Linked DNA regions of Saccharomyces cerevisiae S288C. Changing the gene in region 1 together with any one later gene gives a genetic interaction. Each region holds a gene or a part of one and is shown on either strand. Other genes may lie near its edges. The genes, in order: PST1, YGR050C and AAD4.

Region 1 (3,809 bases):
ATACCAAAAATTATCCGCCATATCCTTATTCGATTCTGGTTCATCTAGTTTACTTTGAGATATGTACGCCGATTCAGAAGTGGGCATTATGAAACCTTTAGGGATATCTTGTTTCGATCTTTCCACTTCCATTTTGACTCTTTGCTTGTATTGTTCAGGGTTCTTTCTGTAATCAACAGCGGCATCGACATTTGCTGGCGAGTTGATATTGGGGTCCTCTAATAGAGATACTATAGAGATCAACACACTTTCCACGGTCTGCACGGGGGACCACGTTTCAGCATCAGGTTCGTCGGTCATAGGATCCCCACTTTGATGTAAAATAGAAATACAAAGCCTGCCATCCCTGTAAACGTTTGGATGGTAGATAGCCGGCGTAAATCGAAACTGTGGTGGAGAAAAGGGAAAGTCTTCCGGAAATCTCATTTGAGCTTTGAAAAACCCTCCATGATAAATGGAATCCTCATTTAGCACCATAACACCTATGTTCCAAGTGAAAATATTTGAATCATCCTCTAGTTCTATATGAAATGAGGGAATAGCTTTCTTAGGATCAGTAAGTTCTCTATATTGCCGTAACAGTAAGCTAGAAGCGGTGCTTTTGCGACTACTCATATTTACGTTGTATTGTTCTTTTTTCCTTGTTTGGTGTACTAAAAAATAACAGTCGCTATAAGTCCTAAACAGTAAAGGACAAAGATGTCAGCGGCAGAGAGTATAAAGGAGTACTATTCGACTGAAATAACAAACGCAAAGCTCCTATTATTTTGTAATAGTATGCTCTTTATTGTCCTTCTTAACTTTAAGTTTCTGCTCTTGTTCTTTACAGATTCAAGAGGAAACCAAAAAAAAATCAAAGAAAAAGAATCGAATTTTTCCCAAAATGAAAGTGTAAGGAAAAAAAAAGAGGAGATAGAAAATCCGAAGAACCCCAAGGGACGGACAAACACAAGACGATGCTGCACGTGGTTAGTTTTGTAAGCGCAGGTTACGATAAAGAGCATAAACAAATCATTACTAAGAGCGGTATACAAGAATAAAGTGACAAACAGTTCTCCCTATTTAACGCACTTAACGTAGGTTCCATCATTATGATGCTATTGCCACATCAAATCTCCTTTGGACTGAACCCGCATTAGTAATTGCCCGCTTTTCTTTTCTTCCGCGGGTGGGCCCCATAAATAGAAAAAAAAAGAAAGAAAGCGTTTAAATAAATAGAGTGAGCGGATTTCTATTATCTGAAAACCGGGTTATAATGCACGTGATATGCACGTGGGAGCTGGGCGGCTATTTTTTTCTTTTTCAAATGTATTTGAGTCGTTTAAAATAGCACTCCCCGTTGACCCGCCAACTCATTTTTGTTTTCTCTTTACGGAAAAGGCTTTAAATTAAGGCCCGCATTTTCGGTATCCTTGAGGGAAAAAAACCAAAGAAACCCAAAAAAGACCACAAAGCTGGGATATCTTAATTAGTAGAGAGGGCTTTTAGTTTTAATAGTGTTACGAGTCTCTAAAAATAGCGTAGGCACACTGCCCTGATTCGGACTTTGATCAGAGTTTATTACTACAAAGAGTAATGTTGAATGATTGGGCTGGGTTTTCATAGCATTAACTCTAAGTAATATCATTCAACCGCTCAAGGTTCCTTACGAGCAAACCCATATATGCTCTACAGATAAACATATAAATAGCGTGCATATTCTTCTCTATTCAACTCTTGCTCTGTATAGTTCAATAGAATCTTACAGTACATCACGCTGCAATAGATCTAATCCAAGAGAGAAGCAAAAAAAAAAAGCTCGCTATAAAAATATCATGCAATTACATTCACTTATCGCTTCAACTGCGCTCTTAATAACGTCAGCTTTGGCTGCTACTTCCTCTTCTTCCAGCATACCCTCTTCCTGTACCATAAGCTCACATGCCACGGCCACAGCTCAGAGTGACTTAGATAAATATAGCCGCTGTGATACGTTAGTCGGGAACTTAACTATTGGTGGTGGTTTGAAGACTGGTGCTTTGGCTAATGTTAAAGAAATCAACGGGTCTCTAACTATATTTAACGCTACAAATCTAACCTCATTCGCTGCTGATTCCTTGGAGTCCATCACAGATTCTTTGAACCTACAGAGTTTGACAATCTTGACTTCTGCTTCATTTGGGTCTTTACAGAGCGTTGATAGTATAAAACTGATTACTCTACCCGCCATCTCCAGTTTTACTTCAAATATCAAATCTGCTAACAACATTTATATTTCCGACACTTCGTTACAATCTGTCGATGGATTCTCAGCCTTGAAAAAAGTTAACGTGTTCAACGTCAATAACAATAAGAAATTAACCTCGATCAAATCTCCAGTTGAAACAGTCAGCGATTCTTTACAATTTTCGTTCAACGGTAACCAGACTAAAATCACCTTCGATGACTTGGTTTGGGCAAACAATATCAGTTTGACCGATGTCCACTCTGTTTCCTTCGCTAACTTGCAAAAGATTAACTCTTCATTGGGTTTCATCAACAACTCCATCTCAAGTTTGAATTTCACTAAGCTAAACACCATTGGCCAAACCTTCAGTATCGTTTCCAATGACTACTTGAAGAACTTGTCGTTCTCTAATTTGTCAACCATAGGTGGTGCTCTTGTCGTTGCTAACAACACTGGTTTACAAAAAATTGGTGGTCTCGACAACCTAACAACCATTGGCGGTACTTTGGAAGTTGTTGGTAACTTCACCTCCTTGAACCTAGACTCTTTGAAGTCTGTCAAGGGTGGCGCAGATGTCGAATCAAAGTCAAGCAATTTCTCCTGTAATGCTTTGAAAGCTTTGCAAAAGAAAGGGGGTATCAAGGGTGAATCTTTTGTCTGCAAAAATGGTGCATCATCCACATCTGTTAAACTATCGTCCACTTCCAAATCTCAATCAAGCCAAACTACTGCCAAGGTTTCCAAGTCATCTTCTAAGGCCGAGGAAAAGAAGTTCACTTCTGGCGATATCAAGGCTGCTGCTTCTGCCTCTAGTGTTTCTAGTTCTGGCGCTTCCAGCTCTAGCTCTAAGAGTTCCAAAGGCAATGCCGCTATCATGGCACCAATTGGCCAAACAACCCCTTTGGTCGGTCTTTTGACGGCAATCATCATGTCTATAATGTAATGGAATGAAGAAATATTCTTCATTTTTGATAACTAGTACCTGTCATTCACGACATGTGAACAAATAAAAACATTTATTTAAAAATTTTATGTATTCAAATATTTTCGGGAAAGAGATAAAAGTAACGACACTTAAAAATTTAAAAAATCACAATACTTTATTTACTCAGTCTTTTGATCAGCTCCGGCACCTCCTTGTTGTTGCTTCTTTGCTGAGCCCGCAACAAAATTGTAAATCAATAGGCCTAAAAGTAACATTTTCCAGTTCTTTTGAAACCAAGACACCTCCTTAACCTCTTCATCTTCTTCGAATTGTGCAGTGCTTCCATCCTTATTCTTACTAGCTTTTTTATCAGCATAAGTTTTGGTTTTCTTCTTTAATTTGGTGACTGGTGCAGTAGGTCCCGCTTCTGGATATCTGACTGTAGCAGTAATAGCATCGTTAGTCTCGTCATATGATAACGACACTTGTTTGACCTCATTATCTTCATCTACATCCACAATTAAATCGTATTTTAGTGGTGTCCTCAGCTTCATGTAGCTAAAACATGGCATATCCAGCTTACCTTCAATCTGGGCATTCAAACAGTATTCTCCAGAAACTTCAACATCCTGTATATTAACGGTTGTTACTGTAACATTCCCATCGGATGTACTATCA
Region 2 (2,993 bases), on another chromosome or scaffold:
TTGTGCGGACTTGGTGTCGCCCCATTATCTGCAGCCTACCTATACTTAGTATCACTGTTCAATCACAAGCTAGCCCCAAAATGCACACGTGACCAAAATGATTTAGAAAAGCAAAAGGATGAAAAATTACCCCAACATCACCCGGAAGTCAAAGATGGGGAAGCTGCATGCCCATTCTCAAAGATGAACAACGCCAAAACATTAAAACCTGAATCCGAAAGAAGCGTAAAATGTCACTCATACATGTCATTGCACATGAGCATTGTAACCGGTATAACAATTTTTACCTTTGGTAAGTGTATCCTAGATGGATTCAAAGCATGAACGACGAAGCACGTGACACGTTCCCTTCAAACATCACAATTATTTAAGCGAGACTAATATATATGTTTAGCGAAAAAAAAGGCCAAAAAAACTAGTAAATATACAAAGCAGAGTATTTTTGGCTCTTGTCCACATTGGATAAGAGAATATTTATTTTTCACACAGAAAAAAAAGTTATATACGTATCTCTAAGAAAGTCAAAGACAAATTACGTAGAATGTGATTCATTCCCATTTCGCCCGTACACTCTCTGTCTCTGTCTCTGTCCCAAACTTCCCTTCCTATACGTATTCATAATCTGCTTAAACGTCAACAGTAGTTTCGGAACATCTTCATACGTAGGGAATACGACTTTTTTCTTTTCACCTGCAGCTTGAGCCAAACTAAAACTGGGATCCGGATAAACTATTAATAAAGGATCGCAAAGTCCATACGCCAGTTTAATGGGAATGAAATGATATTGCGAAGTGACGTCAAGAATCGACTTTAAGCTATATCCGAAGTCAAGAAAGCCGAACCTTACATGCGGTCGGAAAGCAAACGAGGAGATTAGATTGGTTTTCATATCCGCTAAATTTTCTTTTGATTTTACTTTGGCTTAATCTAATGCATGTATATCGGAAGAAGCAACCGATCTGGCCCAGTTGAGTCGTGCTACCTTAGTCATGCCCAGGAAAACCGGATTCCTTCTTTTCATTATGACATCCGTTTAGGTCAATAGGCTTTTTTTTCTCTCGCCCGTGCCTCTCCGTGTTCGATGAATGTGCAGCTTGCCTCCGAGCGGGCGAGCCACCTCGAGCGGGTGACGAAATAGTGGAAAAGAAACGGGGAAGCAAAACTGTGCTGTTCTGGCCCGCAGCGGACGAACGTCATTAAAGGCGCTCCATTTCTGTCGTGAGGGTCTTTCGGTGCGGTGGTGAGGCTGCGTAAACAAGCTTGCTCTTCATACCCCTCCCGTGGAGCTAGTTCGGAAGGACTATTGGCGCATCTTCTGTTGAGAGGTTCCGTAATTCTCCGTAACGTCCCGTTCACCACTTTGCATGTGCTCTCACGTACGGCCGTCTCTTTTCGGCCTTCGGCCCGTTCCGATTTTTGTACCCCTTACGTGCTTTGAATTCTAGAAGGCATCTCCTCTCCGATGGCTTGGTACAGGGAGCACTAGGGAAATTGCACATGGAAGTATCTGGAATACAAAGTTTTTGAAAAGAAAAGCCGAGCGTAATATTGGGACAATACCCAGTTCTCAGCCTTTTCAGCGCGGGTATGAGACAGCTTGCAACAGGTAAAAGGAAGTTAGAAGGGTTAGGTGAAGGGAACGATGATGCTGCCTGAGAACAAAAATGCAGCTTCATGTTACATACAATAAAGGAAGGATAATTAAGGGGACCATGCAATAAGGGACAACTTAATTTTGGAAAAATCGGAGCTTAGTTGCATCTACCTACTAATACTTTCCCCAAAGAATAATAATACGAGTACAATACATATATATATATATATATAATATACACATGTAAGTGATGACTATTCTTAATACAAAAAAATTTCCCTTTTATAATAACTATTCTTAGCATTAAATAACCCGTTACTGACAAAAAGCATATAACATAGGACTCAAGATCGACTCTCATACCCTCCGAATCAAATTCTCACTCGTATACGCAATCATTTAAATAAGCACATCATTATCAGCATATACCGAATAATAAAAAGCAAAAATGTATACAAAACTAAGATCTATACAATCAGGAACATTTAGCACAGTTTATAAAGCATGGAGTACTACACATAACCGCTACGTCGCTTTAAAGATTACTCCTAAATACAAAACTTCAGAAGCCAACATGAAGAACGAGTATGATGTAATGAAGATTTTGAGTTCTTGTAATCCTCACCCCAACATCTGTTCGATGCTCGACTTTTACACGGATGACTCGTACTACATCATGGTGCTAGAATACTGCGAATGTGGTGATCTTTATGACTTTCTAGATATTGCTAAGAGTCAAGGTAGCCCGTCGTCTCCATCTTTGATTCAAATTGATATGCAAAAGATAATCAAACAACTGTGCTCAGCAATCAGCTTTGCTCACAGCTTGGGTATTGCTCATCGTGATATCAAACCAGAAAATATTTTGCTAACGATAAATGGTGACATCAAGTTGGCAGACTGGGGTCACGCTATCCAATCCCCTAAATCTAACGACTTCCAGATTGGTACCGATAATTACAGGGCGCCAGAAACTTTCTCTGGCCGCGTTAGTAACTCTTGTTTTAAGAAGAATTTCGATCGGTCATCGGCTCCATTGTATAACACATACCAAGCTGACTATTGGTCATTGGGTGCCACCATATTTTATCTGATGTTCGGCGATTGCCTTTTTAGAGTCTCCAAATCAAAGAAGGTTCAGCATCTAAAAAATTTCGATGAGTTTGAAAAAGATCCATTTGCATTCATTTACAGGAAATACGTAGTACCAAGGCTCTCCTGTGGTTACAATGATGAAGAAGACCTACACGTTAGCCTGCAGCATACGAGGCAGTACATATGGCAAGATCTACCCGACATTTATGATGTCTTCCATTTGTGCAAGATTATGGTTGATACCTTATTAAAGGTATCGAACGCTAAAGAGAGGTCGATGGAGAATTTCATCAATGAAGTTGAT
Region 3 (3,367 bases), 540 kb from region 1:
GACTATGTCTCGAACTACACTAATGAATACCTGTCCTGGCCAGAACCAGAAGAGGTTTCTGATCCTTTGGAAGCCCAAAGATTGATGGCTATTCATCAAGAAAAATGCAGACAGGAAGGTACTTTCAAGAGATTGGCTCTTCCAGCTTAAACGCACTTCGTCACTCCTCGAGCGTAGCCTTCCTCTACGACTTGTTTATGATTTCCCATTAGGTTTTTTTTCCTCCCTGATATTTAGATATTTACTATTAAGATATTATTTATGAGCCTTTTATTACAGCTTCTTTTCCCTTGTAATTATCGTACTTGCCTCCAAGTATCGAAAGTCTTGTGTTGCCTCGATTTACCACTTCAAATGCTGTAACCTGCACAATTTACGCCTGAATTAGGTGAGGGATAAAGACTGTTTTTAGGTGCGGCTTATTCAAAAGTATAAAAGTAGATAGCGTGGAATATATAAGGACATATTTCTTACACAAACGCACCAAAAAAGAAATCTGATTAATCGAAGGAAATCTGCGCAGACATTGCCGTGAGAAGTGAAGCCTTCTTGGTAACAGCCGGATCATCACCGATAAAATTAGTAGGAAAACCAACATCAAAAGGAATAATACTTTCTAAGTATTCTATCTGTTCTGGTGTCAGTTTGATACTTAAAGCCTCAATGTTCTGTTTGAGGTGTTCAATTTTCCTTCCACCAACCAATGGGAAAACATTTTTCGCCTTAGAGCGAACATAGGCAATAGCAATAGCAGTAACAGACTCAGTGCCATGTTCCTCAGCAACCTTGGCCAATGCTTCACTGATCTTAACCTCTTTATCCGTCTGTTTAGAAGTACCCGAAACAGTACGCAGACCCTCTCCATTCTTCTTCCGTTCCTCCATTGCTTTTTTACTCTGAAATCTTCCACCTCCCATAACATCCCATGGGGCTAGAGCCATACCAAAATGTCTGGCCATTGGAATGATATCGCGCTCAAAGTCCCTGTTCAACACATTCCATTTACCTTGATAGATACTAAAAGGAGTTTTCCCATGAGATGTGGCGTAGTAGTTTGCCGCAGAAACAACCCAAGCAGGTGTATCAGACACACCCAAATAGAGGACTTTGCCCTGCTGAACTAAAATATGCAAACTATCCATAACTTCTTCGATTGAACTCATATAATCCCACCAGTGAACGTAAAGTATATCAATCCAATCAGTTTGCAATTTGCGGAGAGAATCCCTCACACTCACATGTAAACTATGCTTGTGATTACCACAATAGTTGGCACTTTTACCGCCACCTACTTCATACTTCTTATAATCTCCGGTAAACTTGGTGGCAATTACAATTTGGTCACGCAACTTTCTTGATTTCATCCATTCACCTATCCAAATCTCTGACTCTTCATTTTGGTAACTGTTTGCAGTATCAATGCAATTACCTCCTGCTTCATAAAAAGCATCAAGAAGTTCAAAAGCCTGTTCCTTATTCATAGAGCCCATAAAGCCTGACCATGCATCGCCGATTGAAGCTCCTCCCAGAATTAGCGGTGAAACTCTTATGCCGGCAGTTTTAGAAAGAACCCTGAGACGTCCCAACTCGGTAGGTGGTTCAGGTAGAGGTTTAAATAATTCACTAATATTATTGAATAATATTTTGTAGCTATAGGAAGTGTATTCTAGTGAAATACAAAGCCGCTCAGTCAATTCGTCAGCTGGCCGATGAAAGGAAGAACTGCAACTGTCCTTGATCTGGAAATATTGTCATGACTTTTATATGGTTCAAAAATCTGCCCCCAATTTGTTCGAGGATATTTAGTGCAACTTAGTTGGGTCTTGGAACGAGGTCTGCTTACTAATTTTATGTTGACGGTTGAAAGCGGATTTTAAAACGTATGAATTTAGAAGAGAGCCAATCAAATAGGGGTACGCTTAATATTAAAAAAATATTAGTAATTGTTTGTATGACGAATAAAATTTGTAAGCACCTGATCCAATCCTTATTATTGAGCAAGAGACGTCTTGTTTCTGTACTCTTTGATAACTATCAAGGCGACATGAAACTAAGGTCATCTCCATCTGCCATTCCTCTAGTTCCGTCAACGAAAATTCTTCAAGCTATGGAGGCCCGGAACGACATTGTTGACAGTCTGATCATCAATAGTCACGCAACGGAAAGTGATCGCCGGACTTTAGGAGACCATGAGGTTAGACAATGTGAGGATACCAACTTCGGCTTCAAAATTTGATACAGGTTAATTTTGAAGGCAACATTTAGGTTCGGCCTTATTTAAAAAAACCTTCAGGTACGCGTTCAAGATCCCATTTTAAAGGTATAGGCAGATTGCACTATTTTACCGGCAAATGTGCGAATATCGAAACTGGAAGATGTTTTCAAGAAAATTGATTTAAGATCCATTTGTCGTGTTTAGAGTTCTCATTGTTCTGGTCAATGATTTCAAACTCAAAAGGCACAAGAAACTTACAAAATTTGTTTCTTATGAACATTACGCCATGTTCTTTGCGAGCATGTGCTATACAGTCTTGCTAGAAAATGGCCCTATAATTAGAAAGCTCAAAAAATAACCCAATGCTGCATCGATTTTTGGAGAAAGGGGGTCAATCATCATCTATCTTCATAAATAACGAGTTGCAGAAAAATTGGAAACTGGTTGATTTTGAAAAGTTTTCATTTTTCTGGCAACAAATTATAGCTACAAAAAAAGAAGTTATGGCGCATAAGATGCATCAATATATGGTGTGACCAGATTGGACGTAACTAGTACTCATGTTATTATTCATATCCTTCATTTTTCCTTCTTTTCTTCTCCTTCTCGAACAGTAACTTCAGATTGAAAGACGTGAGGATGCTTTAGAATGCACATTAAAATTAATATACTACTGGCCTCTTGTGTTTGTCATTGGCTTCTATTTTCAATAAAACATCCAGACAACCCTGCTGTTAATTTTGGAAAAAAAATTTCGCCGATTCTAATCATGTGACTCCTTTTCCCCAGGCAATACCGGAGAAAGCGTTCTATCTCAAACTATATAATTTGCGCTGCTCGTCTCCAAGCCCATGCTAGTGTTTACTTTCGGTTGTAAAAGGTAACTAGAAGTTTTAACGCAAGCATTGTATTATATTTTCCCACAATTGCTCTTAAGGACCTTTTTTTTTCTTGCGTGATCCTGCACTATTGAAAAGTCTTTATCAAAAATAGATGAAACTTTTTCAGGGTTCAACATTTAGAGGCTTTTCTCATATTCTTTACTCAGTTGCCTGCGAAGACCCTTCTGCCCGCTGCGCATTTTCTTAGAAAATCAAAAAAATTGCCTTTTCATCTTTTACCTTCCGAGTTGAATATGTTGACTATTTGCAA

The links.
Region 2: mutations in PST1 (region 1) and YGR050C together harm fitness more than expected from each alone (negative genetic interaction), as found in Saccharomyces cerevisiae (one large-scale study listed by BioGRID).
Region 3: mutations in PST1 (region 1) and AAD4 together harm fitness more than expected from each alone (negative genetic interaction), as found in Saccharomyces cerevisiae (one large-scale study listed by BioGRID).

What each region holds. Positions count from the first base shown.
Region 1 is NC_001136.10:561,713-565,521, forward strand, and holds PST1 (Pst1p), read left to right. Parts: upstream 1-1,814; coding exon 1,815-3,149; downstream 3,150-3,809. Other genes in the region: SCF E2 ubiquitin-protein ligase catalytic subunit CDC34, read right to left, coding at 1-615; EMC10 (Emc10p), read right to left, coding at 3,311-3,809. UniProt on the Saccharomyces cerevisiae protein: Has a partially redundant function to ECM33 in cell wall integrity. May be involved in a repair mechanism activated in response to cell wall damage.
Region 2 is NC_001139.9:591,554-594,546, forward strand, and holds YGR050C (uncharacterized protein), read right to left. Parts: upstream 890-2,993; coding exon 533-889; downstream 1-532. Other genes in the region: SCM4 (Scm4p), read left to right, coding at 1-324; protein kinase FMP48, read left to right, coding at 2,043-2,993.
Region 3 is NC_001136.10:17,077-20,443, forward strand, and holds AAD4 (putative aryl-alcohol dehydrogenase), read right to left. Parts: upstream 1,491-3,367; coding exon 501-1,490; downstream 1-500. Other genes in the region: THI13 (4-amino-5-hydroxymethyl-2-methylpyrimidine phosphate synthase), read left to right, coding at 1-150; YDL242W (uncharacterized protein), read left to right, coding at 1,883-2,236.